Linked DNA regions of Arabidopsis thaliana. The protein of the gene in region 4 interacts with the protein of the main gene of each other region in a pairwise test. Each region holds a gene or a part of one and is shown on either strand. Other genes may lie near its edges. The genes, in order: AT1G80890, AT4G31830, HCC1 and AT1G01910.

Region 1 (7,061 bases), about 30 Mb from region 4:
GAAGAGGATGGAGAAGGAAAAGCAATAGCAGCAGCAAGAAGAAGAAGAAGAACAACAATGGATCGATGGGGAGTGAGATGTGGAGTGGTGATTTGTTCAGCCGTGAATTAAGCAGCACGACGAGTATGAGAGGAACATTGTGTTACATAGCACCGGAATATGGAGGCGGTTGCTGTTACTTGATGGAGAAAGGAGATATCTACAGCTTTGGAGTACTGATTCTAGTGATAGTCTCGGGTAGGAGGCCTTTACACGTCCTTGCATCGCCGATGAAGCTTGAAAAAGCAAATTTGGTGAGCTGGTGTAGGCAACTGGCTCAGTCAGGGAACGTTCTTGAGCTGGTCGACGAGAAATTGAAGGATGGGTATAACAAGGAAGAAGCAGGATTGTGCATTAACTTGGCTTTGGCTTGTCTGCAGAAAGCTCCAGAGTTACGGCCTGATGTTAGTGAAGTTGTGAGAATCTTGAGAGGGGAAATGGACATTTCCTCCACTGCTTTCGAGTTTTCTCCATCGCCACCGGGAAAAGTTTACGGCAGTAGATCGAAGCGGAGAAGCTAAAACAGGGCAATGCAGAGTAGTAGTTCGAGGTTTGATATGATCTTTTCATTTTCGAAATTGTTGGATGTAACTTGAAAGAGTTTTAGCTTTTGAGAATTGTATTATGTTGTAATTTTTGTAAACTATATATATAATTTAAAATCTTATATATAAATATTTAAACTTTAAACTTTTTCGATTGATTAAATAATTTTAGATAAATTGTCTTATTTTCTTAACTATACCTAATATTTTTGTTTTTTAAGTGTTAAATTTTAAATATGTGTAAACTAATTGATTGTCCAATTATGTTTATTTAGAATTTTAACACCTATTTCATTTATCGAAAAACGTTTTTAGTTTTTAGTTTATACTAATTTATATATCAATATTTAAAAGGTTTTTCGATGTTTTCCATACTCTTGATGGAGTAAACTGATGGTTCCTTGAAATGTGGCATGAAAAAATTGCAACACATAAAAGAATCCAAGGCCATAACATTCATCATTGGTTCACGAGTCACAGAATACAAAAATATTATATAAGAAAATGAAGTCCAAGGACAAAAGAATACAGAAAAGGACACAAATAGACTATGAGAGAGCTCTGAAGATCTTGCCTTGGAAACACAGTGAGCTCAGCCTTTGCCTGTTCTGCAGTCTGGCTCATATCATAACACATTGAACTTTAACTTCTTGTAACTTGAACGTGCAGCGATGCGTGGACGTGTAACAATCAAGAATCACACTAGTTTTTAACGTCTATCATGTAATCCGGAGAGAGATTCCTGAATCAGCATGGCTGCAAATGATTAGTTTTGCAGATTCATTGATATTAGGAATATGCAAAGGTAGCGATCAGCAAATCTAGTAAACTGACGAAAAGATTACCTGGAAAACTGCACGGCGGATGTAGTGAAAGAGTGGAGACCGTGAGGTTTGAGAATTGAGTCATTATTTCAGTGATCGTTTGATGAGAAACTTCAAGTCTTACCCCTATCTGATTATTTTCTGTCTACTGATCGTTGACCCTTGTAGCCTTCCTGAGAACCAACTTTTTGAAGATTCATCCTCTTGCTTTTTCTGACCCCCTTCACCTTTTGCTCCTCAAGAAGTTTCTGGAGCATAGGATTTCCTACGAACCCCTTTGATTTCATCTCTGAATAGATCTCTCTGGCCTTTTCAAGCCACCCACATGACAAAAGGCCCTGTATTGTAGCCAAGTAAAGAGCAGGATTAGCCACTATCTCAAAACGATCCATTTCTGCCCAGATCTTCAAAGCATTTTCTGGTTGCTTTCCCTTGAACAATTTTCCAAGAATAAGAAGAAAGGTCTCTTCTGTAGGACCTAAATCAGAGATCTTCATTTGGCCTAAAACCTCTAAAGTTTTCTCGAAATTTACAGCCTCAAGGAATGCATGAAATGTATCAACTGTTGGACTAAGGTTCTCACTAATCATGGTTGCCAATACATTCCTGGCTACGTCCAGCTTTCCAGCCTCACAAAGGGGGCGTATCATCGAGTTGTAGGTCACTGAATCTGGCTTTAATCCTTCCTCGTTCAACTTTTTCATAAGCTTCATAGCTTCATCAAAGCAATCCTCACGGGTCAACACATAAACCAAGGAATTGTAAACTTCAATCCCTGGAGCCAATCCCCGTTTCTTCATTTCATCGTATAGCCTGAGAGAATCAAAAAGGTTCCCAACTTTAGAGAAGCAAGAGATCATGTGACTGTAAGAGTCCTTGTTAGGCGTGATACAGTAATTCCCCATCTCTCGCCAAATCCTCTTTGCTTCAGTCACATCAGTCCAAATGTTACACCAACCATTAAGAATTACGTTGAATCCCTCAACATCCACCGGAAAGAGCTTTTTGCTTGCAAGCATGAACTCTTCAGCTTTTTCAATGTGGCCATGTCTACACAATGCACATAGCAATCCTTGAAATGCTTCATCATAAGGAGTGTGTTTAAACTTATCCATAATATCAAATGTCCGAATAGCTTGGCTAGTATCATTAGCAGCAGCATATCTACATCAACACCGTCACCAAGACAACCAATTCAATACCTAGCTAGTAAATCTTTCAATTTAGCACAACAAAAGAGAAACTTTTATCAAGAAGACGAAACCGAACCTGTCCATCATGAGAAACATGGCCTTTCTAGTATCCTTTGAAACATTAAACATATCACGGATCAAACACCAAGCAATGTTGAACTTTTGATGATTACCCAACACCCAGATCATCAAATCACAAGATTTCTGATCATCACAGCCGCGTTTCTCTCCCCATTTGAATGCTAGAAAGGCAAGCCTCCATTCATCTCTTAATTCCCAGATTAAGGAGTAGAAAGAATCATGATTTAGATCAAATGATGAGTCCTCCAGAGAAGCCATGGCATCCGCCTCTGACTCCAGCTCAGAGACCTGTCTGATTAAATCAATCAGACCCTTTTCTAACGGAGCCAATGCTGTTAAGTTGATATCAAATGTTTCGGAGATGGTTTTGGTGGAGAAGCGATTAGAAGAGGCAAAATGTGGGAGATAGCTTAAAACTTGAGAATGCACATGACCTGCTCGATGAAATGCTGAAGAGAAGGAATGATTTTGGGAAACTGAGCTCGAAAACGACGTCGACACTGCACGACGTAGCAGAGATTGATGCTGAACAATCCGCCATTGTGGCGTTCGCGCGAGTTTCCTACCAATGGCAACGATCGCGGCCATAGCGAGTGAGTGAGAAGGCTTAAATTAATACATTTCAAACATGGTCTTAATGGGATGAGGATATGAAGTTAATGGGGTCAAAAACGAATATATAGATAATATGGGGTCTAATATGGTAATAAACAAAGTAACACTAATATGAATGGGCCTAAATAGGGCCCATTTTAGATTTCTTTAAAAGATCCGAGAGAGAGAGGGATCTAATTCCTGATAAACCCTAGAAGAAGAAGAAGAAGAAGAAGAAGAAGAAGAAGAAGAAGAAGAAGAAGCAAAACCTGTGGAGATCGAGATGGGAAATGAGAGCAAGAGCAATTTGGGAGGAGGAGGAATTAGGGCAAAGATGGAGCACTATGTCTACAGTGGGGAGAAGAAGCACGTTTTGGCTGGGATCGGGATTATCTCCATCATCTTCGGAATCCCTTGGTATCTAATGAATCAAGGTTCGTTTTCTCTGGGCGATTTAGATTGAAATATATAAATAGATGTTTCTCTGTAGATTCCGAAATGGAAGAGGATGATGATATCAATAGCTGAAAGATTTAGAATCTAAAGTTTCTAACTTTATATTTCTTGGCAAATGCAATCAAGTGGTCGATCAAATAGAGTTTGATTATATGATAATGATGAGTCACAATGTTTATTCTGTTTGGATCATAATAGACTTGCATGATCACATTTTTTACCAAGTTTGTTTGCTTTTTCCCCTGATGATCACACATCGATTCAATTGCATAATCTCAATGGTTAAATATCTTATTTGCTATATGTGACATTTGGTAATATTCTCCTTGTTTTGTTCATTATATAGGCTAATTGTTTCTCTTATTGGCTTTTGTTGTTTGGTAAATCTGGTTTGTTTCAGGATCAAAGCATCGTTCTCACCAAGATTACTTGGAAAAAGCTGATAAAGCTCGAAAAGCTCGTCTCTCATCATCTTCATCCTCGGATAAGTAGTCATCTCCCCCCACTTGGATGGAGACTCTAGTCAACTACATTTTGTGAATGGATCCATACATCATCGTTTCCATGTCTATAAACTCAGCCATGTCTGTTCTAGAGTGTGGTTCAGTTCAGATATGTATCTTTACACTCTACACTTAGGTTTCTTTATCGAAGATATGTAAATTTGCGATAAGTTAAAGGATTCATCCTTTACGATACTGTTGTGTGAGCTGTGAGTTTCGACTAGGACAATCCATAAAGTGAAAGATCAAGATGAGTCTGGTATGGTTTGCTTAATAATCTTTCAGTAACCCAAAAAAAAAATACACGGGGTTTTATCTTGTAAAGGTCACAGGCGATTAATGTATAGATTTAAGCAACATAAACAGTAAAACAATCGTCTACGTGTCAGGGTAGTTATGTCTTCACAGAGGCATGAGTCTTCTACGTTTGTAGTACCAGAGGAATGCCAAAAATACAACAAGGCCACACACTCCAGTAATGGCTAAAACCCATTTGAAAGCACCAGGCTTTTCAAAGAAGTCTATCTCAAAATTCATCCCAAAGATCCCGGCTACAACCCCGAAGATGGCTACAACGAATGTGGCAGTAGTTAGCAGCAGCTCGAATTGGATCAGCTGATTCCGTACGTTATCCTGCAAATTCCAGAAATTTTCAGCAGATTCTTAAGGTTTTCTAAGCAAATAAGATATCTAAAAAAGATCAAGATTTCAAGGTATACCAATTGAATGTTGATGAAATCTTCGGTATCATCGATGTACTCCTTTAACTGAAGAGTAAAGAGAGTTGCAGGTGATTAAACCGCTTTTAAAAGCTGTTAAAACAAGATGATGAATGATCACAAAGGCGAGGTTTTTAGTTACCGAGGTTAGCTTGTTGAGAGTGCTGTCAATGACAACAAAGTATGCTTCCAGCAACATCTCTAGCTCCTCTATATTCTCGGTTGCGTCTTCTGAGCTCCTAGCACTGTCATGCCGGCTCCTTACAATGCTCAAGCTTTTCTCAAGTCTACGGGACTCAGGAGGAGAAGAAACAGGAGAAACTGGCGCAGACAGAGAAAAACAATCATTTGTTCGATAAACAGGTAAAGATTGATCACCATATAAAGATCCTTCCATTCTCTTCTTCTTCTCTGTTAGATACATTTCTGCCATATCCCCATCATCGTCCATTAGCTGTTCAATCTCATCCCGAACCTTCTGAACTCGTCTCGTCAATGCTACAAGTCTGCTCTTTAGTCTACGAGCACGCTCCAAGTTTAGAGTACTGATCTTTGAGGTAAGCTCATCCAATAATGGGTATGCCTCAATCTCTAACTCTGAAGCCTACAAAGGGAAAATCTATTCTCAATGCTGAGCATACTAAATAACAATAAGTTGTGAATCAATCACTGACCTGGGAATCAAGGAAGGTACAAGCAGCTTCAAGTGCAACTTCAAGAGCCCTGAACTCGAAAGGTAAATAATCAGGGGATGAGTTCTGAAGCACATTGTCTAAACTCCTACTCCTCCTCCTGCTCAATTCGAGACTGTCCTGATTCCAAACCTCAGTAACAGAACTTGCCTTTAGTCTCTGCTGCAGCTCAACAACATAGCGAAGCACATAGTTGTCAAGGGAATTCAAGAGCAAAACCTCATCCGCAGTAATAATACAACGGATCTGCTCTAAGTTAACAACAATAGCCTTCTCTCTACCAAGAATAGTTGACGGATACACAAACAAAGGATCAAGCAGCCTTAAATCCCGTGCTGGTAAATCACATCTACGCATCATAGTGAACTTATCAACCTCAATGACCTGAGAATTGGCAGAAGTATCAACACGAATCCACGACTTAAGGCCTTGTCCACGCTTCTTGAGACCCAAAACATCAACTCCAAGGAGTGGTTGTCTCCCTGAAGGAGAAGGACGAGAGCCTGCATCACCTCTAAGGTTAATAGCCGAAGCAGGTCTTGGAGGAAGCAAACGCTCTTTGAGTTCAGACATTGTTGCCAATCTCCAGATACTACAAAACCAGGTAAGTATAAGGAATGAAATATAAAAAGAATCTCTTCAAGGTCTATTTGATAAAATAAATAAAAAGTCAAGAATAGAAATTTCTCCAAGCAGGATCGTCTTTCAAATACCAGAAGCGAAGTAATAAATACAGACTAATCTCTCTGATAAAAAATGGAAGCTTAAGAAAGCATACATCACAAGGAAAAGATCAGAATACTATAGAGTGTTTCATCGGTCATATCCCACAAAATCAGATGGATCGTCCCAAAACAATAAAACAGAGACAATATATACCAAAAAGGTCGGAAATTGTAGAGAAAATTTCAATTCACACCTCCAAATTAACAATCTCCGACAAAGTAACCCTAAAATCTAAATTCGAAAGGATTGCGGAAGTGACTTGGCCGGATTCCGTCTTCTAGTTTGGTTTGAGTGAATGCGAAGAAGAAGCAAAAGTTAGAACCTTTTTTGCGTTTTGGTACTTTGTAGACGAAATCAAATTACATGTAGTGAGTAATGCAAACCGATTCTTAACTAATTTATATTGGTTGAGACTCAAATTTACCGGTTTAACGCAACTTTCATTATAAAATGCTCTAGCTATCTATTTCATTAATGTTTGTTCAATAATTTAATGCATCAATTCAATTAGTATTCAATTATTTGATCCAAGCGTGACGACTAAATGAGAGAATGATATGTGAAATCTGAAATGTTATAACCGGTTTAGGAATTATTCATAGATTGAGGAGACGAAATCAAAAATTATTCGAGTATAGGTGACAACAACGTGCGATTAGAAAAAGTAAAAATAAGGGATCATTGGAGAA
Region 2 (6,590 bases), on a different chromosome or scaffold from region 4:
TTGACTTCTTAAAAAAATGTCTAAGTTTTGTTGACCTTGCATTTTAAAGCGTGCCGTGAAATTTCCGTTGAGCTAGAACCTTAGATCACTGGATCTGTAGTCAAGCATTAAACCGTTGAGCTACTCACGCTTTTGGTGTTTACTTAAGCTAATAGATATATATATTCGTACATGTAATTAATTGAAAAACACAAACCTAAAAGCTCCATTATTGCCTGCGTAATAAACAGCGTGAACAAGTCCAGAAAATAACTCTGAATCAGATGTAATCAAGAGTTCACAATACTTGAAATCGACAACATTAAACGGATCTCCAATTGTATAAATCCGAGAACGGTACTCTCCCCAAACAAACCATCATTGGACATAGACGAGCCACACGATCTCAACCTCACGCTCATATTTGACGTGATTCCACGCCACCTGCTCACGCTGTTTTCTTCTCAGGCAACAATGGAGTTCTATTAGTTTCAACTAGTTACATATATATAAGCTCAATCAATGTTGTTACAAGTTTACAGTAGCTCCATGGTTTACAGTAGCTCCGTGGTTTACAGTAGCTCCATGGTTGAAGGCTTAATTACAGCTGCAGGGAATCGTCGGTTTGACACTAGGTTGTGTCCGATTTTCTTCTTATTTTTAATTTTTAAAACGACGTCGTTTTGAACTGTTAACGGAAAGTTGACTCCGTTAATTTTCTGTTAACGCAAATTTCACGGCATGCCTTAAATGACCACGTCAACGAAACTTAGACATTTTTTAATAAGCCAACTCAAACTTTGAGATTTAAATGACATTTCGAAAGTTCATGCTTTTTTCGTCCCAAATTTGAAAGTTGGCGCATTTTTCAACATTTTTCCCAATAAATAATACATCAAATGACAAAAATAAATTGACTGGAAGACTGCAAATGGTATCAAATGAATATGTACCCTAAACAGAGAATTGATGGAATATACTGTAGTCAATATAGTATTGCGTTTGTATTTTTATGTCATAGAGAACATAAAAAGCATGGCATATACCTATAACACAAACGATTACTCTTAGTGAATAATTTAAGACGACAATCCGGAAACCTCACATTTAATCGAACCGTGGAGAATATAGTCAATCCAATCGAAACCAAATTTCGGTTCTGAGATGAGAATGCTTTTTATTGTTTGATCGTTGAGATATGAATGTTTAACGTCAAACGACTAATAGTAAAGGTTTAATGTTGAAAAATAATAGAAAGATAATTATAGACAGGCGTGAGCATAAGGCATCATAAACAAATGATGGTGAACACTGACTATGGGTCCAAACCTCCATAATTGCAACCTTGTGCTTCTTCTCTTCCTTTTCTCCTTTCTTCATAAATTTCTTTATAATTTCCTACTCTTTTTTTTTTAACTTCTTTTACCTTTTTATAAGTAGACGAAAATTAGTTTTTACCCTTAGTTTTATTTGTGTAAAACTTACTTGAATTATTTGGAATGTACAAATAGTTTCCGCAGAATAACTTTGGTCGTTTTCAGGTCTATCTTTATCTTATTGTTTTCTTCTTGAACATCATGAAATAAAATGATAGAAGACTCCACCAATATGGAGAAGACTCAATTGGATGTTTTGTAATAGTGGTGTGAGTTTCGTAATAGTAAGCTGTATTTGCCAAATGACGAAATGTTATCATATGGGTTTGAGGAATAAGTACACAAACCCTATTATCCAAGTAAAAAATAACGTGGCCATTTGTTTTATTTTGCACAAAACAATGTATATATATAATGTACGTATCTATTAAATTTGTAGCTCTAATTAATATTTACGAGTGAGAGAGTTGATTCTAATGACGTTACATACCAAACTTATGCAAAATCTCATTTAAGTCATTGAATTTCTATCTTTTTGTTATTGAAAAATTGGAAAGTGAAGATTTTAGATATTTAATTGTTAGTCATGAGTTATGGCTTATGGACGAGCCGTTAGATATGTTTCTAAGTAGTGGATACTTGAACTGAAGCTTTTAGTAGTAGTACTTTGAATGTTTTATCAGAATTGATTAGAAAGTAAACGATGATCAGCCTAATTTAAAGACGAAAATGTTGATTTATAAATAAAATGTGTGCAGTTGGTGAGGAGAGAAAAAAAAGTTTGTCGTCCAGGTTTTATGCTCATAAAGCAACACATGAGTGTTTCTACCTAACAGCCTATGTCAATACACTTACTTTTCTGGGCCATTAAGTGGACTCACCTAATTTTTTCATATTTATAACGTTACGATCTTATTTTATGCCAATCAACGTTTTTTAAAGACATGCGAATCACCAATTGTCTCATAGAATCAACTTGCTATTATTTTGTAGTTGACTAAAAAATTACTATTTCTTTCCTTAAACTTTTATTTGGCACTTGACAGTAAGTAATCAAGACCACATTGCCGATTCAAAATAATCACACCGTTCGAAATTTTCAAATTGAGTTTTCTTGTTAGAGAATTTACCCTAAAACTAAATCAAAACCAAACTGAATAAATTCCATAAACAATTGGAATTTTCTATTTTTCATTAAGACTGGAAATATAAAAACGTAATCAAAGTCATATCAAAAGACTGCAAAACCGGATTTGTAGTCTTTGAATGCCATGCATGATGATGCTCTACACATCTTTTAGGATATGGCCCAAAAATATTAATACGCAAAAGAAGCCCACAATAATGGCCCTACTTTTAAGCGACATAACACAGAGAAATGTAGAGGATTCGGTGATCTAAATTATACGCATGCATTTGCTACACAAGACTACTCTATTCCTCCCATTTTATTCTTCTGCTTGCTCTAGTAGTTGACATAAGCCATTCTTGGACACGTTATGTTATTTTATTACAAGTAAATAAGAAGTTCCAACAAGAGCATGAAGCAAGAACAAAATTACAAAAGCAAAAAAAGAAGAAGAAGATAAACCCTTTAATTCTTCCCTTGAAATTTTACTTTCTTGGATGTGTATCTTCAGGTTTAGCCGTCCCTGTGGCAGCCTTAGCTACATCAGTGGCAGTGGCTTCCGGCTTCTTCTTAGCATACATAACAGTGTACATGATGGCCCCCGAGATAGCTAATCCGGCTAGAGCCATCGTCGTGTAACTGTATGGCAAGTTACGGCGTTGATGAAGAACACCACCTGGATTACTTCCTGGCGGCCTCTTTGATGACTCAACGCCGGCAGCTTTTACTCCCTCCGAGCTCATCTTCGTCGTATCTGCTGTTTTTCTCCAGTCTTCTTCTCCGGCCATGCTTATGCCTTCTTCAGTATTTTTTTGGTTGGGACTATACTAATCATGGAAAATTCAGCTTTAGCTATAGGTTTTTGGATATAGTAAGAGTCACGAAGACACGTAGTGTCGTTGGAGTTTGTTAATGTGTTCAATAAGGGACACCTAGCTGATTCTCTTTATTTTCTGTAATAAACATATTAGGCAGGTGTCATGCCTTAGAATCGTAACTAAGCCAGGTGCCAAATTGGGTCTGGACTTTTAACTATAATCAAAATTTATGCCCAAAGTTGGAGGTTTTTGTCTTCTGCTTCTCATATGGGCTTTAGGCGATATGTCTTTTATTCATCTTTTATCAACTTCAAGGCCCAATAAACCCAGTTCCCACTAGCAAACAAAAAGTAAAGTACAAAAACAAAAAACAGAAACAGCTTAGCTTGACCAGTCTTCCTAGAAGACCGTGAAATCACTTTCTCTATCAGAGTTCAAGTTTTGTCGCTCAATCCTAACCGTTACGTTGCCTTTATCATCTCTCCAACGGATACATTAACATTTACCATTTTTTCCTTTTAATTTTTCGTAATTCCTAAACGGCTAGTTTCCAAGTCCTCTACCTTTATATAAACCACACAAGATCCACACTCTCTCCATCCTCAACACACTTTAAAACACATTACACACTCTAATACTTTTAAGGTTTTAGATTCTAATCAATGGCTTCTTCTTCTCTTTTGGTCACCATCTTCCTCTGCATCTCTGTCTTCTTCTTTTCGTCCGTGAATGCAAATGAGGTTACCGTCGGTGGAAAATCCGGTGACTGGAAGATCCCTCCTTCCTCTTCTTTCTCCTTTAACGAATGGGCTCAAAAGGCTCGCTTCAAAGTCGGCGACTTTATCGGTAAATCCATAATTTTCAACTTTTTTTTTTCAATTAGACATTTTGTGTGATCTTCAATATACTCTGTTTCTGACATCGTCACATGTTTATTACAGTATTCAAGTACGAAGCCGGTAAAGACTCGGTTTTGCAAGTGACACGAGAAGCATACGAGAAATGCAACACCACTAGCCCTAAAGCCAGCTACACCGACGGGAACACAAAGGTGAAGCTTGACCAAGCTGGTCCGGTCTACTTCGTCAGTGGAACAGAGGGTCATTGTCAAAAGGGTCAGAAGCTACGCCTAGTCGTCATCACTCCTCGTAACTCTGCTTTCTCTCCAGGTCCTTCGCCATCTGAGTTCGACGGTCCAGCCGTAGCTCCTACTAGTGGTGCCGCTAAGCTCGCCGGCGGATTTAGTGTCGTATTTGGGCTTGTTCTTGGATTATGGGCCTTCTTCTTTTAAAAGACAATTAGTCTTAATTCTATTTATTAATTTTGGAATATAAAGTAGAAATCTTTGTTATTTACTACATTAAATTTATTTTAATCTAAATTGTTCTTCCTCTTTTTCAATTCTGGATAAATTAGTTGGATCTATCAACAATCAACAAAGAAAACAAAACAAAAGTGAATGAGAATTTTGAATTTAGTACCCAAAAAGGTAATTTACAGCAACACAAAGAAACCTGGACTGTCGTGAAAAGAGGCCTAAAAATGGGCCTGAATTGGGCCTAAAGATATTTTGGGAGGGAAGCAAAACGGTAAGGATCGAGTGGAGCGAGTCTGATTTTATCCTCTCGGCAAGTTTTTTATTATTCTGCTTCGAAAATTCTTTCATCAAAAATCTCCGGTTCACCGAAATCGACTCCCTCGCGCTCTTTTCAGCCGGTGAACGGAGACGAATCAAAATGCTCATAGCTATTCAGCACGTGTTTGTGTTTTGTTAGTTATATCTGCGCCACTTGAAATGTGATGAATCATCATCGTTAATCTCTGTTTTCGTTTCAATTTTTGCCGGAGAATTGAATTGTTTTGCTTGCTTGGCTTATCTCTAGAATGGTCGCGTTACTCTGCTCTGCGAGTTTGTGTGGTGATATATCAGTTGGTGATGCTTGTCTTGTTAGTAACATCAAAGCAAAATGTCGCGATAATTTGGTTACTGGAGGATTAAAGTTCCACGCTTTGAAGATTGGGTCTCGGAAGAAACACTGGAGAAGGAAGAGTATGAGATGTAGTGTAGTCTCCATGAAAAGTTCTGACTTTTCGGGTTCTATGATAAGAAAGAGCTCAAAACCTGATTTGTCATCGAGTGAAGAAGTAACGAGGGGTTTAAAGTCGTTTCCTGATACTGATTCTTCATTTTCGTATTTCAAATCAGTGGCTGGGAATTTGAATTTAGTTCACACTACTGAGACTTGTAACTACATGCTTGAAGCTTTGAGGGTTGATGGTAAACTTGAGGAAATGGCTTATGTGTTTGATTTGATGCAGAAAAGAATCATAAAGAGGGATACTAATACTTACTTGACTATCTTCAAGAGTCTTTCTGTGAAAGGTGGATTGAAGCAAGCACCTTATGCACTTCGGAAGATGAGAGAATTTGGTTTTGTGTTGAATGCATATTCATACAATGGGTTGATTCATCTTCTGCTTAAGTCTAGGTTTTGCACAGAGGCAATGGAGGTTTATAGAAGAATGATCTTGGAAGGTTTTAGACCTAGTTTGCAGACTTACTCTTCACTTATGGTAGGTTTGGGGAAAAGAAGGGATATTGATTCTGTGATGGGTTTACTTAAAGAGATGGAGACTTTGGGGTTAAAGCCGAATGTTTACACCTTTACGATATGTATTCGGGTGCTTGGTAGGGCAGGGAAGATTAATGAAGCATATGAAATACTGAAGCGGATGGATGATGAAGGATGTGGACCTGATGTAGTTACTTACACTGTTCTTATTGATGCTCTGTGTACTGCTAGGAAGCTCGATTGTGCGAAGGAGGTTTTCGAAAAGATGAAAACAGGAAGACACAAACCAGATCGTGTAACTTACATTACTTTGCTGGACAGGTTTAGTGATAACAGAGATCTGGATTCAGTGAAGCAGTTTTGGAGTGAAATGGAGAAGGATGGTCATGTACCTGATGTTGTAACCTTTACCATTCTCGTGGATGCTCTGTGCAAAGCTGGGAATTTTGGTGAAGCATTTGATACATTGGATGTGATGAGGGACCAAGGTATCTTACCGAACCTTCATACATATAACACATTGATTTGCGGTCTTCTAAGAGTCCACCGGTTGGATGATGCACTTGAACTGTTTGGTAATATGGAGTCTCTGGGCGTGAAGCCCACTGCCTATACGTACATAGTTTTCATTGATTACTATGGAAAGTCTGGAGATTCCGTCAGTGCTCTTGAGACTTTTGAGAAGATGAAAACCAAAGGAATAGCTCCGAACATT
Region 3 (8,257 bases), on a different chromosome or scaffold from region 4:
CTTCAGCAGCTATCCTTGCAAGGATTCTGGTGATGAACACCACTTACCTGGCCCAGCTAACATCTGATTCATCTCTTTCAGTGTTACTCCAACAGGCAGGTGTCCCAGTCGAAGACAATATACTCCTTTGCCTCATCGACATTTGGCTCGACAAGGTCAGTGAAGAACACATCTTGAACATTACTGGTTGTTCGAATAGCTTTCTAGACTATTAACTTTCAGATAATGGAATATTAACTTGTTTCATGTCTTTACATGGTCTTTTTCTTGAATCCTAAGCAATATCTCATTGTCAAACTGCTCTACATGTTGAAATGCATGTTTCTTTTTCATTATCTGACGCACTTTAGTCTTGCATCTACTCGTGCAGGTGGACCATGCGTCTCCCATGCAACAAAAGACATTTGGCTTGGCTCTTTCCATAATACTTACACTTAGAATGCCCCAAGTTCTTGACAAGCTTGATCTAATACTAAGGTACAGGTTTGCACAGTCGAGAATTAACAGTTTGACTTATGTATCTTTGTGATATAATTTATCGCGTTTCTGGAAACAGTACATGCACCAGTGTGATCCTTGGTGAAAACAAAGATTTAACAGAAGAAGAATCAAGGTCAGATACTTTTTTTAATTACTTACATTACATAACATTATTAAATTAATTTTAAGTGACTTTTTTTATTTGTTATTGAACTGTTCACAACACTAAGAATTAAGAAACACACAATTTATAATTCCAGCGGTGACATGAGTTCAAGCAGGTCTCAAGGAGAAGAAACCCCGCCAAGCAAAGAGTTACGGAAAAGTCAGGTAAAAGTTAATTTAAAATATGGGTTTCTTGAAGAACCAGCTTCTACAAAACCACTGATTTATTACACTTCTTTTTTGGGGGGTTGGATCTTATTTAGATAAAAGTTTCCGACCCAATCTACCAGATGTCACTAGAGAACTCAACGCGTGAGAACCTTCAGACATGTTCTACACTTCATGGAGATGCCTTTAATTCTGCCATTAGTAGGATGCACCCATCGGCGCTTGCACAAGTGAAGCAAGCCTTAAAGCTGCCGTGAATAAATGTTTTTGCCTCGTGATTGTTTGTTTCCTTATCAGTTAAAGAGCAGCAGTATTCAAGTGAGTTTCTGATTCGTTGTTATTCTCTCTTTTCAGCGTCATTCATTAAAAAACCTCCATTGTGTTTTTCTATATTCATCAGTATTCAAGTGATTGAATGTTTTTGCCTCTTCACCATTTGATCTGACTCGCCACTTCATAACTGTTCAGGTGAGTGAGCTTTTCTTCCCTTTACGGTTATGGATTTGATGGGTGTGTTACATAGGCGCGCATGTTGCATTGACCTCTGCGACCTTGGCGGTTTGATGAACTATGTACATATCTTTGATGAGGTGATTCCCTTTTAGCTGCCCATGATTCCCTACAGAACAAAAGGAGGCATCTTTCAGAGACTTATATTTGTTTTCCTTTGGTCGAGTTTAGTATGTCAATTCATTCTTCAATACAACGTTTTTGTCCCAATGTTACAAACAACACTAAAGAAAAAGTGAGGAATCAAAATAGGGAGATCCTTACGATGTATTTCCGGTCTGTTTTTTGTCCCAAGAACTCTAACTTTACATATGATGGGAACAGGTCGGAGTTTTTGTCTCTATCTGTCGTACTGTTGTACTTGCTGATTTTTACTCATTCTCCCTTATGAATAAATCTTGGCTTCGTGATTTTATAGTCGACCGTTTCATACAAGTGTTGTGATCGTACGCACTGTTAGATCCCAATTGCAGATTTTCACAAATTACTCCTTGGTCGTGTAAACTCTCTTTACTATGATGATTTTGTAAAAACACATACTATGGTATTTAGCAATAACGGGTAATTAAGCACTGCCTCTTAGTTCGACATTTAAGCACTGCCGATAATTTAGGCCTTAAAATTCTATACGAAGAAGTGTGATCAATTTATGGGACACGGGTAATCGGAATAATCTCAATTGATCCCTTAATGCCCTTATAGTATGGATACTACCGTTGTGTGCATGCTCGGCCACAACAAAAACTGATGTTTTTTCAAGGAAACACAAGCAGCTCCGTGTTCTGAGAAATCCTTATTAATGATGAGCTTCCAAAAATGGGAATAATGTATATTAATCACCTAAGTGTACTTCGAAGGTTCTTTACTTCCGGTACTGACGGATCTCTTTTACAACGCCGTCTGTCAACGAGTCAACATCGTGATTCTTCCCGTAGAATTTCACAAAATTCATCTCCGGACTCATCAAGTACCTTCACCCACAACATGTTTACATATCAAAACTCCAACCACCAAAAAAGAGATCAAACACTACTGAACACATACAAGATGAATCATTACACTGTAACTATGTAAAATGTAACTATGTAAATTCTGAAATTTGAGAATATGAACATGAACAATTCTAAGTCTGCATGTCGGGTTTTGTGCCGATAACTATAATCTTCCTAACAAAATATGTTAAAGGGATAATAAGTACACGTACATGACTATAGAGTGATCAACGAGATAGTCTGAATCTTCCTCTTCGGTCTTCATGTAGTAAACCCGGTAAGATCGGGCCACCGATTTGATTTCTTCAGGGCTCCCAGTTAACCCGATCAATTTCGGGTGAAATTCTACAAGAAGTATCAGACTATGAATTTTCATTTCAAAACCAAATGAATCTTTCGAAATGAAAAATATCTACCTTTGACATATTCATGTACTTGCTGAACTGTGTCTCTTTCAGGGTCCACAGAGATAAACACTGGCACCACGTCTACTCCCGAATTTTCCTCTGTGTAAATGTGATATAACCTTAGAGGAAAAATCTCCAAATGTAGAATCACACAAATGAAAAAATGTTGGTATCTCACTTATTTTGTCAATGGCAGCAGCTAACTTAATAAGTTCGTCAGGACAGATATCGGGACAATGAGTGAAACCAAAGTATAAAATGGTCCATTTTCCCATCAAGTTTTTCTCCGTCACACGTTTCCCATCGTCTCTTATAAGGCTGAATGGTCCTCCAATGGCTGCTTTTCCAGCAGATGGCCCCTCCTTGACGGCTATAGAGTTCTTATTTATATCTAAATCAATAAGAACCCAAGTCAATATACAAAGAAGAATCGAGATAAGCTCGAAGAGGGATTCAGCAGAAATCAATGTGAAATCCCTAAGCATTTACTCAGTGATAGAAGTGATAAGTTCATTTATCTTGCCAAGGTTATCACTAGCCAAATCAGATATCGTTTGCTAAGGTCTAAGGCCTGTGATCATTAAGCTACAAACAATGTATTCAATTAGACATTTCAGAACTCCATTAGCAAAATGTACGACATGATGCAAGATATTAAGAGCTCGGTCGAAATCTAGCACCTCAGTTTTACTGTTATTACACAATCCAAACTAGAAAATGGGAGCTATGTAGCCAAATCATGTAATAGTAGTCTACACTCTACATGATCAAGTTTGTGTTACTTTGTAGATATGTTCAAAAAATGAAACTCACCATAGATGAGTACCTTCGATATGACGTTTCTTTTGTGTGTCATAATAGTAGACCAATCCAGCTCCAGTAGCAAACAGCAAGAAAAAGCTCATCCATGAAACCGGCTGCAATCAAACCAAAAACTCTCCAATCAAATATTAGACCAAAACAACCATTTAATTCTGCAATTCAATCAGAGAGACTTTGTTCATGGAAACAGTTACCCCTCCACGAACGTCTTTTCCAGAAGCACGCTCGTTTTTATGATCTGAACCACCATCAGAACTCTCCGATCCTCCAGATTTCTCATTTTTCTCCGAAGATTTTGTTTCCGGTTTACCTGAGTCATGTTTCGAGGTAGTATCAGAAGCAGAAGTACTCAGCAAACATCTCTGATCCATTTTCAGCATTTCGATTCCACAGTTAAGTGAAAAAAACTGCAAAAGGAAGATAGCAATTAGAGAGCTCAAAACAAAGAGAATTAGAAAATGAATTCAGATGAGGAGAAGAAATGACGAACCGATCGAGGAAGAGAGAAATCTCCATGACGAAGCGCGTCGGAGATGCACGCCGGAGAAGGAGACGATGCCGATAGTAGATCGCTGGAGACGCGAATCCGACGAAAAAGTTGAACGGAACGAAGACGGCTTGCAGTTCTACATAGAGCAGACGCCATTGACGACCAATTTTTCTCTGAAGTTCACAAATTCGCTGATTTCTTTCCTGCGAGCTGAGGTTTTTAATCTGAGAGGTGCAAAGAGGTTTTACACTTTATAAAACCTTCTAGTGAAACGACACAGTTTATATTAAAACGGCAAGGTTTGCGAACGCCCTTTATACAAACACCTTGCCGTTCAGTTTAAAGCCCGTTTGGGTCGACAAGCTCATTAGTTTTAGATATTTAAAGCCCATTAAGCCGGTTTCAATCAATTGTTTTAGATATTTATGCTTTCCACCCCCAGTTTTAACATTACTATCACTTAGTTCCAACTCTTTTCATGAAGACCCAGTTGACTCAAGAGCGACCAACGATACTTTGATTGATAATGGAGTAACCAAAGAACAATAAAAGAGTTTTGCATTAACTACCCCAAGAGAACAAAATAAGACCCAACCTCAAACAGATATGGCCTGAGGGGAATTAAACTACTTTTACCCAAAAAAAAACTAACCACTATTCACATGATACGATAGAGAGAAGCGGAAAGACGACATGCAAAAAAAATAGAGGGTTAAATTTATGATGGGTGCATGAGCCTTGCAATCATTCCTTGAGTCCAGCGTGCAGTGACCTTGAGATCTTCATCCTCTGATTCGAGACACTCATTAAGGAACTCACCGAAGAAGGTGAAGTTTTGGAACAACTGCTTTGTGTTCTCTCCTACAACATCCGCAAGATCACCCATCGCTGCAACCGCGGCTTTTGTCACGCTCTCATCCCTGCTCTCATAACAAAACACCAGTTACAAGTTTAATATGTGCAACGAAACCAGAAGGAACAAATTGATTATATTTTCAAACCACATGGTACGGACCTCAGGGGATCTTTGGATACTAGTTCAACAAACTGCAGGAGATGTTGAGCGTAGGGCATCATGAGCTCGGCTTTTGTGTCCTTGAACCCTTGTAGTATCCCGGAGTATGCCTCAAAGATGCTTCTCCGCAGTTGGTTTGCATAATCCATAAGCTCCTCGTCAAGGGTATCCATCTGAGCACACACCTGAGCAGCCCCTTGCATGATCTGAACGGCTGGTGCTACATACCTTTCAAAATGAGCACCAATTGCCAGAGCAATGTCTCCAAAGCATGAGAATATTGGAGGCTTCACTGATCTGTGGAGTGCCCCACTTTGAAGGTTTTGGATAAGGAGACCCATTATCTGATCGCAAAAAGGTAGGATTTTTTCATCCAGGGCACGGCAAATGTCACCAAGCACTCCTACTGTGATTGAGCAGACTTGGTATTCTTCGAAATTCTGCAGCCCCATCTGGAGATATTTGAAAAGCTCGGGCATGTATTTCACAAACTCAGCTCCAGTAGCATATGCAAGAGCACCGATTGCAAGCATGGCTTCTTCGTGGACACTTGAACTATGGCATCCAAACACTCTTAGGAACAGCCTCATAATGTCATCTGCGCTCTGCATTATGATGGGTTTCGTATCCTCCCTGCCGCTCAGCTTCTGGATTATAACTTGGAGAACACCACACAGAGAAGCCTGGACTTCCGCTTGCTTCTCACGGTCATCAGTTGATATTATAGGGAGGTCCATTGTCTCAGCTAATTTTTTCATGATGGCAGGGAGGAGATGCGCTATGATGCTTGAGGCCTCTGAAAGGTTTGAACACCGGACAACCTCGTTCAAGGTTTCATACGCAGCACCTCTTAGCTTAGACTCTGCCCCATCTGTACGCTCAGCAGCTGCAAGCAGATGTGTGATGATCTCTGTAAGATAAGGAGAGAGAAGAGATGAACTTGCTCCAGAGTCTTCATATCCCTGTGCAAGATTGTATATTGCTCCACAGACCTTCTCTGCAACATTTGGCACATCTTTAATTGATTCCAGTAATACACTCACAATTCTAGGGAGGTTTTCGGGTGATATAACAGAGAAACCACTGTCTGGGGAGTGCAAAAATTCAAAGATACGGCTCAGAGTCCAAGCAGTTGTATCCCTGACATGGTTATTCTGATCCTTGGTTGCATTAAGGAGAAATTCCAAGCCAGCAGCAACCATCGGGGCAAGCTTATCAATTGTTGGGCCCTCCAAAATTGATCCAAAAGCATAAGTGGCTGCCTCCCGGCAGCGCCAATCTGGCGAACTTATGTTTTTTTCAACAAAAGGCATCACAAGAGGGACTACATGATCTCCAACTGTTCTGGCAACCAGGCCAAGGCATGTCCCGCCAGCCATAGATATGTTCCAGACGTCGTCATCATGGTCCTGATCCTCTTCCTGCTTCAGCAGAGTTTCTAGCAACATTTGAACTAAATGGGGAAGAGCCTTCTCTATGAAAGAGGAGTGGGGAGGAGATGAGTCACCACTAGCAGGACTGTCATACTCTTGACGGTCGATCTCTTCATCACAGATGGAACTCCAGAACTCAATTGCTTGGAGGGAAACGCTCTCTTCATCTCCCTTTACAGCATTCGATGTGAGCTCAAAGAGTGTTTGTATGTAGTGCTCCAGCACCTCATAGTATGTGGATGCAATGGACACAAGGCACTCGAAAGCAGCTTGCCTGATCTCTGCCTCCTTGGAACATGCTGTCTCGCATACCATCTTCATGATGTAATTCCTCTCCATTTCATTCTCAAAATTTGTCTGAGAGAAATCCAAGGCATTAACAGTGCCTTTGTTGCTGCGAGACGAACTTCAGCAGTATTTTCAGACTGGTTCATGCCCTGCACAACTGCTGTGAGGACAGAATTCACTTCATCTTGCACAAGATCATGGTGTGATATCTCTTCACAGACATAGCCTAGAGTTTCCAAGGTTGATTGCTTCAAGTGTGCGGGACTGCCTTGCTGAGTCATATTGTTAAGCAGCGATCCAACAAGTTCAGGCCACTGCTTCTGAGGAATTTCAATGGAGGCTACCTTAGCAATAACCTGAGCTGAAGTATGCCTTGCCTCTAGGGCAGATGAACCAAGAGTTCTTAGTAAGCGATCCTTGATCTGGGATTTAAGAGCAACATCAATTGCAAACCATTGTTTCACCAGATGATCTTTTGTGGCAGAATCTTTGGCGTCCAGAGAATTCTTTAGCAGAATACCGGCTAGTCGACGGGATTCAGCAGGTTTATCATTGTTGGCAAGCTCAAAAGACAAGGATACTAAGAACAGCGGCAAGTTCTGTTCTTGGAATTGCCTGAGATTACCCTCTGCTTCAGTCCGGACTCTTGCATCGGCTGACTGGGCAGCCAACAGAAACTGTGTGATCTCCATCGCCATTCTGGTCTCTGCGCAACAAGGACATTCACCATAATCAGCAAAAAAAAAGAGGGGTTAATAGAACAAAATCAGCACAATTCTAAAAAAAAAGGGAAAGCTACTGAACAAAGTAATGGTACAAGTATAAAAGGCAATAATACTATACAAACGGTCAACAAGTTCAATCAGATGGTACAAACAAGAGCATTTGAACATTATGAGCAAATATATCCATACTCCGAGAAAATTATATGAGAATCTCTGCTTGGTGTAATTGACAACAAAAATCATTGAAAACAAACCCAATATGAAATCCGAACCAAAGATGACCCAGCGTTTTCTATGAAATTCGGAAAAAGCTTTTTCTCCTAGTCGTGAAGAACACGAGTTCAATTTCTAAGAAGGAAGAGAGACAAATAAGTGGCAGAATCACAGCGAGCGAGTAAAAAACTAAAGTTAAAAACCCTGCAGTACTAGTGACCCAAAACCTAATCCGAAAGCATAGATCTATAAACAGATATACAAATCCAGAGATCAATACACAGTTCAAGCAAGAGATTTACCTGGAAATTAAGGTTTGCGTAAACGCTAGGGTTTTTCGCTTCAATTTAAACACCACGTCCCTCTCACTGCAGATTCTATCCACAAAAAGCTTCTCGAAGAAGAGCAAAAACCAAACCCTAGAGTTTGCAGAGACAGAGAGAGAGTCTGTACTTGAAACTGTCGAAGGAGAGAGAGATATGAGAAAAGAAATTTCAATTTCGAATACAGAGAAGAAGCGGGTGTGGAACTGTGGAAGGGCAAGGCTCA
Region 4 (8,990 bases):
TGAATTACCTCGCCGGAGCAGCAAACGCCACCGCCTCCGTTCGATTCAGAGGAACCGCGTATGGTGCAACCGCCCCGATGGTAGCCGCGTTCTCATCCAGAGGACCTAGCGTCGCGGGACCGGAAATAGCTAAACCGGACATTGCGGCTCCCGGTCTGAACATCCTCGCCGGATGGTCACCGTTCAGCAGCCCTAGCCTCCTCAGATCCGATCCAAGACGCGTCCAATTCAATATCATCTCGGGAACCTCCATGGCTTGTCCTCACATCAGCGGAATCGCCGCTCTAATCAAGTCCGTTCACGGGGACTGGTCACCGGCGATGATCAAATCAGCAATCATGACGACGGCGAGGATCACTGACAATAGGAACCGACCGATCGGAGATAGAGGCGCCGCGGGAGCTGAATCGGCGGCCACAGCGTTTGCGTTTGGAGCGGGAAACGTGGATCCCACGCGAGCGGTAGATCCCGGGCTGGTATACGATACCTCCACCGTCGATTATCTCAACTACTTGTGCAGCTTGAACTACACGAGTGAGAGAATACTCTTGTTCTCCGGCACTAACTACACGTGTGCTAGTAACGCCGTCGTTTTGAGTCCCGGTGATTTGAACTATCCCTCGTTCGCGGTCAACCTCGTTAATGGCGCGAATTTGAAAACGGTGAGATATAAGAGGACTGTGACTAACGTTGGGTCACCGACTTGTGAGTATATGGTGCACGTTGAGGAACCAAAAGGTGTGAAGGTGAGAGTTGAACCAAAGGTGCTCAAGTTCCAGAAGGCCAGAGAGAGGTTGAGTTATACGGTGACGTATGATGCAGAAGCTTCGAGAAATTCGTCTTCGTCTTCCTTTGGAGTTTTGGTTTGGATATGTGACAAATACAACGTCAGAAGCCCAATCGCCGTGACGTGGGAATAAATTTCGCATCTATTGATTGCCATTTTCATATTTATTATATACCAAAGAAACTTATTGAACAAAAGCTTACCCTAAACTTGTAAGAATTTGTCAATAAATCAAAACATCTCTTATTTACTATAATTTTTTTACATGAATTTTCCTTCTCTGTTGCAAGACCAGTCTACAGTATATAAAAAGCTGTTACAAGAGATCATAGCATTCGCTTGTCACAGATACCCTTCAACTTAATATATAAAAAGCTGATTAAGTCGTAAAACAACGATTTCTTGGTAGATATGAGTCTATGTAGTCATGATTATTACAAATATAAAAACAAATCCAATGCATAACAATAAAACAACGCAAAAGAAGATTCTGCTTGATCTTCTTTCCTGTCCTATAAAGAGTTGTTGCTAGATGAAGAACTAGAGAGAAAAAGATTCAGTTTTAATTTTCCACCTATAAATTGTTCAAAACATAAACAACAATAAACCCAAATGACAACGCAGATCCAGAAGACCCCCATGTAGAAAGCAAGTGAGTTCCAAGAATATGGCGAGGAAAGAAACTTACAATTAAAGGGAAGAACAGAGCCTTATCTTTAGCCACTCTTGACCCGTTCGAGTTCTTCTTCAGCTGTTTTTAACTGCAAACGCAATGTGTGTACTTTCCTCTCCAGCTCCTCTACATTGCTCCTGCTAGTGGTAGGATGGTACGGCGTCAAGAACTTATGTGAAAACGCCTTTAAGGCTTCAACCCCTGTCACCTGTGATCCAAACATCCACAACAAGTGTAAATCTCAGGATGTATATTATATAAGGCTTTAGTTTCATTTTCGTCTTGATCATGTTCCTTCTCATCTATATTGAATGTCATGCGTTCTTACCTCTTCCGGAAGCAGAGGAAGCTTTGTGATATTAAAGTCATCGTATAGCATATAAAACTGATCAAGATACTTCTGTTGCATCCGCATCCTTGCTCTGAGCAACTTGGACTCCACATCTACAGAAGACAAGTGTAGATAATTCGTCAAATTTGTATGTAAAACAAGTTCAAAACGAGAAGATAGACACGACAGCAAATAAATAGGCACCTTCGTCGTCGTATAGTACTTGGTTGATGATAATGTTATGCGTGTCAATCTCAAACTTGGCGAGTTCCTGAACAAGTCTCTCTGTTTCATAGAGAGACAAGAACTCGGGGATGCAGACACAAACGAACGTAGTCATATCCTACGTAATGGAGCCAAATGTGTCAATTTCTTATCTTAAAATGCAGAGTTTGTTAGATATGTATCAGAATTTTCACTAATGCAAATGAATGCTGTCAAACCGTATGCTACAGAACAATGTGAAGAATCTAAAACTAAACTTCACGAACAGAGTTAAGAAAACAGTCAATGAGTACTGAAAATAGCAAAGAACTTAAACAATTGAAAAAATGTTACCGGGTCTTTGAATTGCCGATTTACTTGCTCAATCACATCTTTCAAGCCCTCAAGTCTTCCCAGCAAAGCATCCTCTCCGAACTCATCCTCCATGCCAAACATACGGCTCATCTGCATTACCAATCAGTTCCATGAAAAATCAGCCAAAGAAGAAACCAAAGAGCAATATCTGTTGCCAAGCAAACTGAATTTGACAAGCTTAAAGACATGCCTGAGTCATCAAGCCACCAAATCTACTCTTCAATGACATCAACTTCGAAAGTCCCTTTTCTAGTGTGGCCGGAAACTGTAACAGGCGGAGAGTATGTCCAGTAGGAGCAGTGTCAAACACAATAGTAGCATAATCCATTGTTTGCACCAACCTAAGGAAACATAAACATATCAAAATTTGACTGTGATAATACATGGATAAAGGCAGATGATTACTAGAAGAACTAAATGGCTATTTACTTCAACATCTCAGCAAAACTCATAGCCTCATCGATTCCAGGAATCGCATTTGCCAAATCAGAGAATAAACCATCCATCCCGTCTGTACCAGCCATGTCATCAGTTTCAACGGTAGGATCTACCTCCTGAGAAAAGCAAACAAGATTCACTCACTATCAAGAGGGAAGGAGTGTGAATCGTAACCATTTGCTTATAGTATGTGTATATATATACATATACACACAGACACAACTAAGAGCTTCAAGCTTAGAAGAGTAGCCATAAAGTCATCATCAAGCCTGTCTATTAGAGGCGACCCAGAACCACAAAAAACAACTTTTTTTTTTTTTTTTGAATTTGGCATAACTAGCCATGAATTTTAACTACAATAGACAAAAATTCGATTTGATTTGGGGACATCAAATCTTCTTCACAATCCCCTTCCGTATCAAGAATACAAATTGGCGTCCAAATTCCAAACCTAATCCCCAAAATCAGAGTGGGCATATGATAAGAAAGGCACAAATCAACCGTATTTATGCAAGTACTAAATCTGACTTCAAAATCAAAATTGATCCATCAATCTGCGGTTTGAAATTCGTGAATCAGAGAACCCTAATTCCCAATGAGATTAAAATCCAGGAGCGAAACTACCAAATTCCCTCTAAAATCTAGCACGATCTAGAACAAAATCGGAGAAAGCTTACCATGGCAAAGAGATTAGAGAAACCTTGAACCAAAGTGGGAGATTTAGTGAAGCGTTGCTGAAAGGCATCACTAAGATTGTGAGCAGGATCGGTGGAGATGATGAGAACGGAGGATCGAACACTGGCGAGACAAATTGCGAGAATTGAACTGCATGTCGTCTTCCCAACACCTCCTTTACCTCCGACGAAAACCCATTTAAGAGACTCTTGGTCCAGAATGTTCTGTACTGTCGCCTCCGGCAAATCCGCCGCCATTGCTAATTCCTTGCTCGTCTCTCTTCCACTAGTCTCAATCTAAAGAGCTCCTTGTTAGATATTTGGCGTACGGAAGAGTTTAACTGCGGCGAGAGACTTTTAACGCCGCCCGGTTCAATATTTTGGTTCTCGGTTTTGGGATATCACAGCAGTCTTGGTTTGATTTTTTTGGTTATCGTTTTTCACTTGTTCAATTTTTCTTTTTTTGTTAAAAATTTAAATTTGGTGTGTTTAAGTTCATAAACGCTAAATAAGCCCATACAAAAGCCCACATAGATGAAGCCATTACGACAGCGTATTGTGAGTTACGATTGAAAACCCCTCTCTACTCGGTTAAACCCGTCGCCGGCATATTGATCTTCGCCGGAGGATATGGCGATTTCAGAAGAAGAAGCCAAACTCGAAAGGTTCCTAGATTGGCTTCAGGTTAGATCCGGATTAAGTGTTGTTTTTCAGTCCTGATCTGCTGCTCTATATCATGGCATTTTGTGTTTCGATCTAATTTCATTCAGGTGAATGGAGGTGAATTAAGAGGCTGCAACATCAAATATTCTGACTCCCTAAAAGGATTTGGCATATTCGCTTCCACCTCCACTCAAGCTTCCGATGGTATAGTATTGTTCTTACCATTTCTTGCTGGGTTTTTTTCCGGGGAATATGTATGGAAAGTTGATATTGAATTCTGATTCAGCTCTGGAAATTTTCAGAAGTTTTGCTTGTTGTTCCGCTTGATCTGGCCATTACCCCTATGAGAGTTCTTCAGGACCCTCTCCTGGGCCCTGAGTGTCAGAAAATGTTCGAACAAGGACAAGTTGATGACCGCTTTCTCATGATTCTGTTCCTCACTTTGGAGCGTCTTCGTATCAATTCTTCTTGGAAGCCGTAAGTTTTTTTTTTAATCTCTTAGCACACATTTACGTAAGCTTAAGGGTATTCATCTGTCTAGAAATGATATGATAGGTATCTTGATATGCTTCCTACTCGATTTGGCAATCCTCTTTGGTTTTCTGATGATGACATCCTTGAGCTAAAAGGGACTAACTTGTATCACGCAACCGAGTTACAGGTCTCAATCTTGATCATTTATTCCTGTCTTATCATATCGTCCTTAAAATAGCAACCACATTTTCTCTTTTCATTTATTAAACCCAATAACCATCGTGTATTCATTCTCAGAAGAAGAAGTTGCTCTCGCTTTACCATGACAAGGTGGAGGTCCTGGTGACAAAGCTTCTTATTTTGGATGGCGATTCCGAAAGGTTGACATATTTACACTACTTTTAGACCAAATTATTGTTCATTGATAATCATATTTTGTTTTCTCTCTTCGTGCAGCAAGGTCTCCTTTGAACACTTCCTCTGGTATGTTTGGTACTGGTGTTATTCCTTGTTAGTAGAACCAGACTTTTGTGTCTTGTAAAGGGCTGCTTAGTGATCTTGCGACTTTTTTCAATTATGCCAGGGCAAACTCTGTATTCTGGAGTCGCGCCTTGAATATTCCTCTTCCACATTCTTTCGTGTTTCCACAAAGCCAAGATGATACCGGGGAATGCACATCAACAAGTGAGTCCCCTGAAACGGCTCCAGTTAATTCTAATGAGGAAAAAGGCAAGTCATTAACGTCGGTCTGCTGAATTCTGTGTGAAATGCCTCTTTTTTAATTATTATTATTCTATCATGTAACGACAATTTCATGGGTTTCTTCATTTTCTGATGGGTAGAAATTCAGGCTCAACCTGCGCCATCTGTAGGATCCGGAGATACAATATGGGTTGAGGGGCTTGTTCCTGGCATTGACTTTTGCAACCATGGTATGCCAATCTTTGTTTCAAAAAGACTCTATTATCAGTTTCTCCGTTCCATAATGTTGATATGGTTAATGAGTATATCCCAGTGTGATGTGATATAATGACCTATGGTTATGGCAGTATAGATTTGAAGCCTGTGGCGACTTGGGAAGTTGATGGGATCGGATCAGTATCTAGGGTTCCTTTCTCCATGTACCTTCTCTCTGGTTGGCCAAATATTTGTTTGTGTTACCTCTCAGCTTTCTACAATTTTTCAATCAAACAATACAGAACATTCTTTTTCCTCTCTTCTTTTTGATCTGTATGCGGAAAACTAAGTGCTACAATTCTGTAAAGCAGTTGCTCAACGTCCTATCCCAAAGAAGGAGATCTCGATCAGTTATGGTAACAAAGGAAATGAGGTAAGATGTTTTGCAGCTATCTTGTACAACTATATAACTTGTCTCTTGGTAAAAAATCACATCTAGCCCTTTGTTTGAGTGATGTGCCTTCTTGCTGAATGCAGGAGCTTCTTTACCTGTATGGCTTTGTGATAGATAACAACCCAGATGATTATCTCATGGTAATATTTACATCCATCAACAGTTCCCTACCTTTTCAACCAGTGATGTATTATAGAAGTCTTGAGAATGATGACGAGAAACATAACTTTCAAGATCAAGGAGATGCTCGTCAATTTTGTTCTCACATCTGTTGTTACGTTTAACAATGGATTTATTCAGGTACATTATCCTGTTGAGGCAATTCCGAGTATCCCTTTTTCTGATTCCAAGGGGCAGCTGCTTGAAGCTCAGGTTAGCAGTACAAGTCTTCGCACTATCTTACCCGAAGTTTTGATTATAGACCCTATAAGACAATGTAGCTCTTTAATACATTTATTTCCATGTAATATGTAACTGTCGAACTCTAAAAAATATCATTGCAGAATGCACAACTCCGGTGTCTCTTGCCAAAATCGGTCCTAAATCATGGGTTTTTCCCACGAACCACATCAGTAATTAGAGAAAGTGATGAGAAGGAAACAGTGAGATCCTGTAATTTCAGTTGGTCTGGGAAGCGTAAGATGCCCACATATATGAACAAACTAGTTTTCCCAGAAGATTTTATGACTGGCTTAAGGACCATTGCAATGCAAGAAGAAGAGATTTACAAGGTCTCAGCTATGCTTGAAGAGGTATGATCACCGTTTTTTCTTTCTTCTGACATCTGAAACCCATATCCTACACAAAAAATCTCCATCTCTGAAAGAGTGAAAGTAGTAACTTGGGAAACGAAGGCGGAATCATAAATATCCACAGTTTGTCTTCCACTAGATAATGAGACAAAAGTATTGTTTTCCTGAAAAGCTTGTTGAGTCAAGACAAGGCGAGCAACCTTCTGAAACTGAGGTCAGGATGGCAGTATGGGAAGCATGTGGGGATTCTGGAGCTTTGCAGTTACTTGTGGATCTCCTTAATTCAAAGTAAGCAGTTGAATTTGAACATGGATTCTTAAGGGCTAACTAAGATGTTTGTCTGTGGGATGAGAAGAAAATTACAGACCTCAATGCTTTTTGTCCTGACAGGATGATGAAGCTGGAAGAGAATTCTGGCACTGAAGAACAAGATGCTAGGCTCCTTGAGGAGGCGTGCGTCTTAGAGAGCCATGAAGAATCGAGGTACAATGTAAAAAATCTGTGGACATGTCGTTTAGATATTGATTAAAAATGTTTATAAAATATGTTTTGTGGTAGGGACTTGGATGGGAGAAGGATGAGCAGAAACAAGTGGTCAAGTGTAGTGTACCGTAGAGGACAGAAGCAGCTCACAAGACTGTTGTTGAAGGAGGCAGAGCATGCCCTTCACTTAGCTCTCTCCTCTGACCATTGACTGATATCTCATCGGTGTTTTATTGTAGATTATTTTAAACATATCCATTTCAAAGGCTAAATAAGCAAATTGTGTGATATAACAATTATTAGTGTGTGGCACCAAATTAACGGTCTATATATTTTAAAGTAATACCCAAATCTTTTAGCTAAACCAATATAAAATCTTTTCATCTAAATCAAATCTGGTGCAAAATCAATAGGATTTGCAAAGATTCGGTAATGGCACCACGCCATTTACTCATTTACTCATATTTAGTGCCGCTACTCTTTCTTGATCCTTAAGAAAAAAGAAAAAAAAACTTGCAACTCTGGATCGAGACACTATTGATGTGAAAACAAGGCTTCATGCATATATATATATATATATGGAAATATTGAGAAGTCGGTTTGTGGTCTAAACGGGCCTTCTAAAAACAAATTTGTGTGTGGCCTAATAATTGAGTCGGTAATGTTGTGCACTTTAATGATGATACTCACTTCTTGTTTTTCAAACTTTCTCCTCTTTTACCTAACTCACTAAAAAGTTGGAAATTAACTTGTGCTTGAACTGCTTTGAATGTTAAGTGATGCCATCCGTCTTTCTGCAGCGGCTGCTCTCTTTTCCCTCTGTGCTGCCATTGCTCTCCTCACTTCCTCCTATTACAACAAGATTTACACCAAAGACAAAGCAAATGTTGACATGGCTTCTCCTTAAATATCAGACTGAGATCAGATTATACAAATTGGGGTTTGTGAAGCTAACCACTTTAGAAATTGGCTTCTCCTTCTCCGCCTGCGCAGCTTCGGCCTGCAAACACAGGGAGGGTTAGATAACAAGTCTCTACTAATCCGAGTTTTGTTTGAAAAATAGACCCTGATTCAAAACGTTACCTGAGCCTTCTTTTCTCGGGCTTTGCGTAGTTTCTTCAACTCCTTTGTTCTTGCTTTCTGCTTGGCGTCTTTTTCTGCCTGAACAACAATCACCGTCACGAATCAAGTTAGTCTGATGATGGATTCAGACTCCCATATGCAACCACATGTCTCCGAAAATCATATACCAAATCATGCCAGAACAAATATATACGACACCAATTAATATAGTATTTGGCAGTCATCGGATTCTAACACATGACCACACATACATCATTAACTCCGGGATAGAGCTCAACCTAAAATCCCAATGCGCAATGAAAGGACTAACTGCACTAGTCCTATTTTGCCTCATGCGGAATCCTTAACCAAACTTCTAAATTCAACAAATAACAAACCAATGCAAGTACCTGCTTGGCAGCTTGAGATTCCTCCATCTCTTTTGTGAGCGGGCTGGGTACTTTAGCATCATGCCAATTCCATTTTTCAAGGTTTAACGCCATAAACCGTCTGAAAGTGTTTCTCACTTCCTTCTCATTTGCAAGCATGTATGGCGTTCTGCCTCTTTCATCCTTAGCACAAGGATCCATACCCTCCTCCAAGAACTCCATAACTCTTTCACAATCACCCGATTTGGCAGCTTCATGTAAGGCAGTTGACGTACCAGTAACTCCATCCTCGATATCCTCTTCTATACGATTTGGTTCCTCTAAGATTATGTTG

What was found.
Region 1: the proteins of AT1G01910 (region 4) and AT1G80890 interact in a two-hybrid assay, tested with the Arabidopsis thaliana proteins (one large-scale study listed by BioGRID).
Region 2: the proteins of AT1G01910 (region 4) and AT4G31830 interact in a two-hybrid assay, tested with the Arabidopsis thaliana proteins (one large-scale study listed by BioGRID).
Region 3: the proteins of AT1G01910 (region 4) and HCC1 interact in a two-hybrid assay, tested with the Arabidopsis thaliana proteins (one large-scale study listed by BioGRID).

What each region holds. Positions count from the first base shown.
Region 1 is NC_003070.9:30,393,652-30,400,712, forward strand, and holds AT1G80890 (GAG1At protein), read left to right. Parts: upstream 1-3,476; 5' UTR 3,477-3,559; coding exon 3,560-3,710; exon of another isoform or gene 3,711-4,132; coding exon 4,133-4,224; 3' UTR 4,225-4,559; downstream 4,560-7,061. Other genes in the region: AT1G80870 (Protein kinase superfamily protein), read left to right, coding at 1-560; AT1G80880 (Tetratricopeptide repeat (TPR)-like superfamily protein), read right to left, coding at 1,543-2,572, 2,678-3,270; MGT1 (magnesium transporter 1), read right to left, coding at 4,638-4,868, 4,955-5,002, 5,097-5,558, 5,629-6,219.
Region 2 is NC_003075.7:15,397,834-15,404,423, forward strand, and holds AT4G31830 (uncharacterized protein), read right to left. Parts: upstream 3,393-6,590; 5' UTR 3,273-3,392; coding exon 2,970-3,272; 3' UTR 2,771-2,969; downstream 1-2,770. Other genes in the region: ENODL15 (early nodulin-like protein 15), read left to right, coding at 3,965-4,148, 4,244-4,593; PGR3 (proton gradient regulation 3), read left to right, coding at 5,187-6,590.
Region 3 is NC_003074.8:2,723,218-2,731,474, reverse strand, and holds HCC1 (electron transport SCO1/SenC family protein), read right to left. Parts: upstream 4,283-8,257; 5' UTR 4,191-4,282; coding exon 4,035-4,190; intron 3,952-4,034; coding exon 3,739-3,951; intron 3,640-3,738; coding exon 3,549-3,639; intron 3,114-3,548; coding exon 2,901-3,113; intron 2,822-2,900; coding exon 2,732-2,821; intron 2,661-2,731; coding exon 2,528-2,660; intron 2,295-2,527; coding exon 2,186-2,294; 3' UTR 1,819-2,185; downstream 1-1,818. Other genes in the region: AT3G08960 (ARM repeat superfamily protein), read left to right, coding at 1-155, 371-477, 557-613, 741-810, 909-1,070; AT3G08947 (ARM repeat superfamily protein), read right to left, coding at 5,022-6,821. UniProt on the Arabidopsis thaliana protein: Thought to play a role in cellular copper homeostasis, mitochondrial redox signaling or insertion of copper into the active site of COX. Plays an essential role in embryo development.
Region 4 is NC_003070.9:312,092-321,081, forward strand, and holds AT1G01910 (P-loop containing nucleoside triphosphate hydrolases superfamily protein), read right to left. Parts: upstream 4,000-8,990; 5' UTR 3,741-3,999; coding exon 3,486-3,740; intron 2,925-3,485; coding exon 2,800-2,924; intron 2,712-2,799; coding exon 2,561-2,711; intron 2,461-2,560; coding exon 2,350-2,460; exon of another isoform or gene 2,135-2,349; coding exon 1,996-2,134; intron 1,905-1,995; coding exon 1,789-1,904; coding exon of another isoform or gene 1,781-1,788; intron 1,669-1,780; coding exon 1,504-1,668; 3' UTR 1,063-1,503; downstream 1-1,062. Other genes in the region: SBTI1.1 (subtilase family protein), read left to right, coding at 1-920; AT1G01920 (SET domain-containing protein), read left to right, coding at 4,113-4,166, 4,253-4,349, 4,448-4,622, 4,701-4,806, 4,917-4,999, 5,076-5,102, 5,203-5,365, 5,470-5,551 and 8 more; AT1G01930 (zinc finger protein-like protein), read right to left, coding at 7,950-8,054, 8,161-8,205, 8,289-8,366, 8,678-8,990. UniProt on the Arabidopsis thaliana protein: ATPase required for the post-translational delivery of tail-anchored (TA) proteins to the endoplasmic reticulum. Recognizes and selectively binds the transmembrane domain of TA proteins in the cytosol.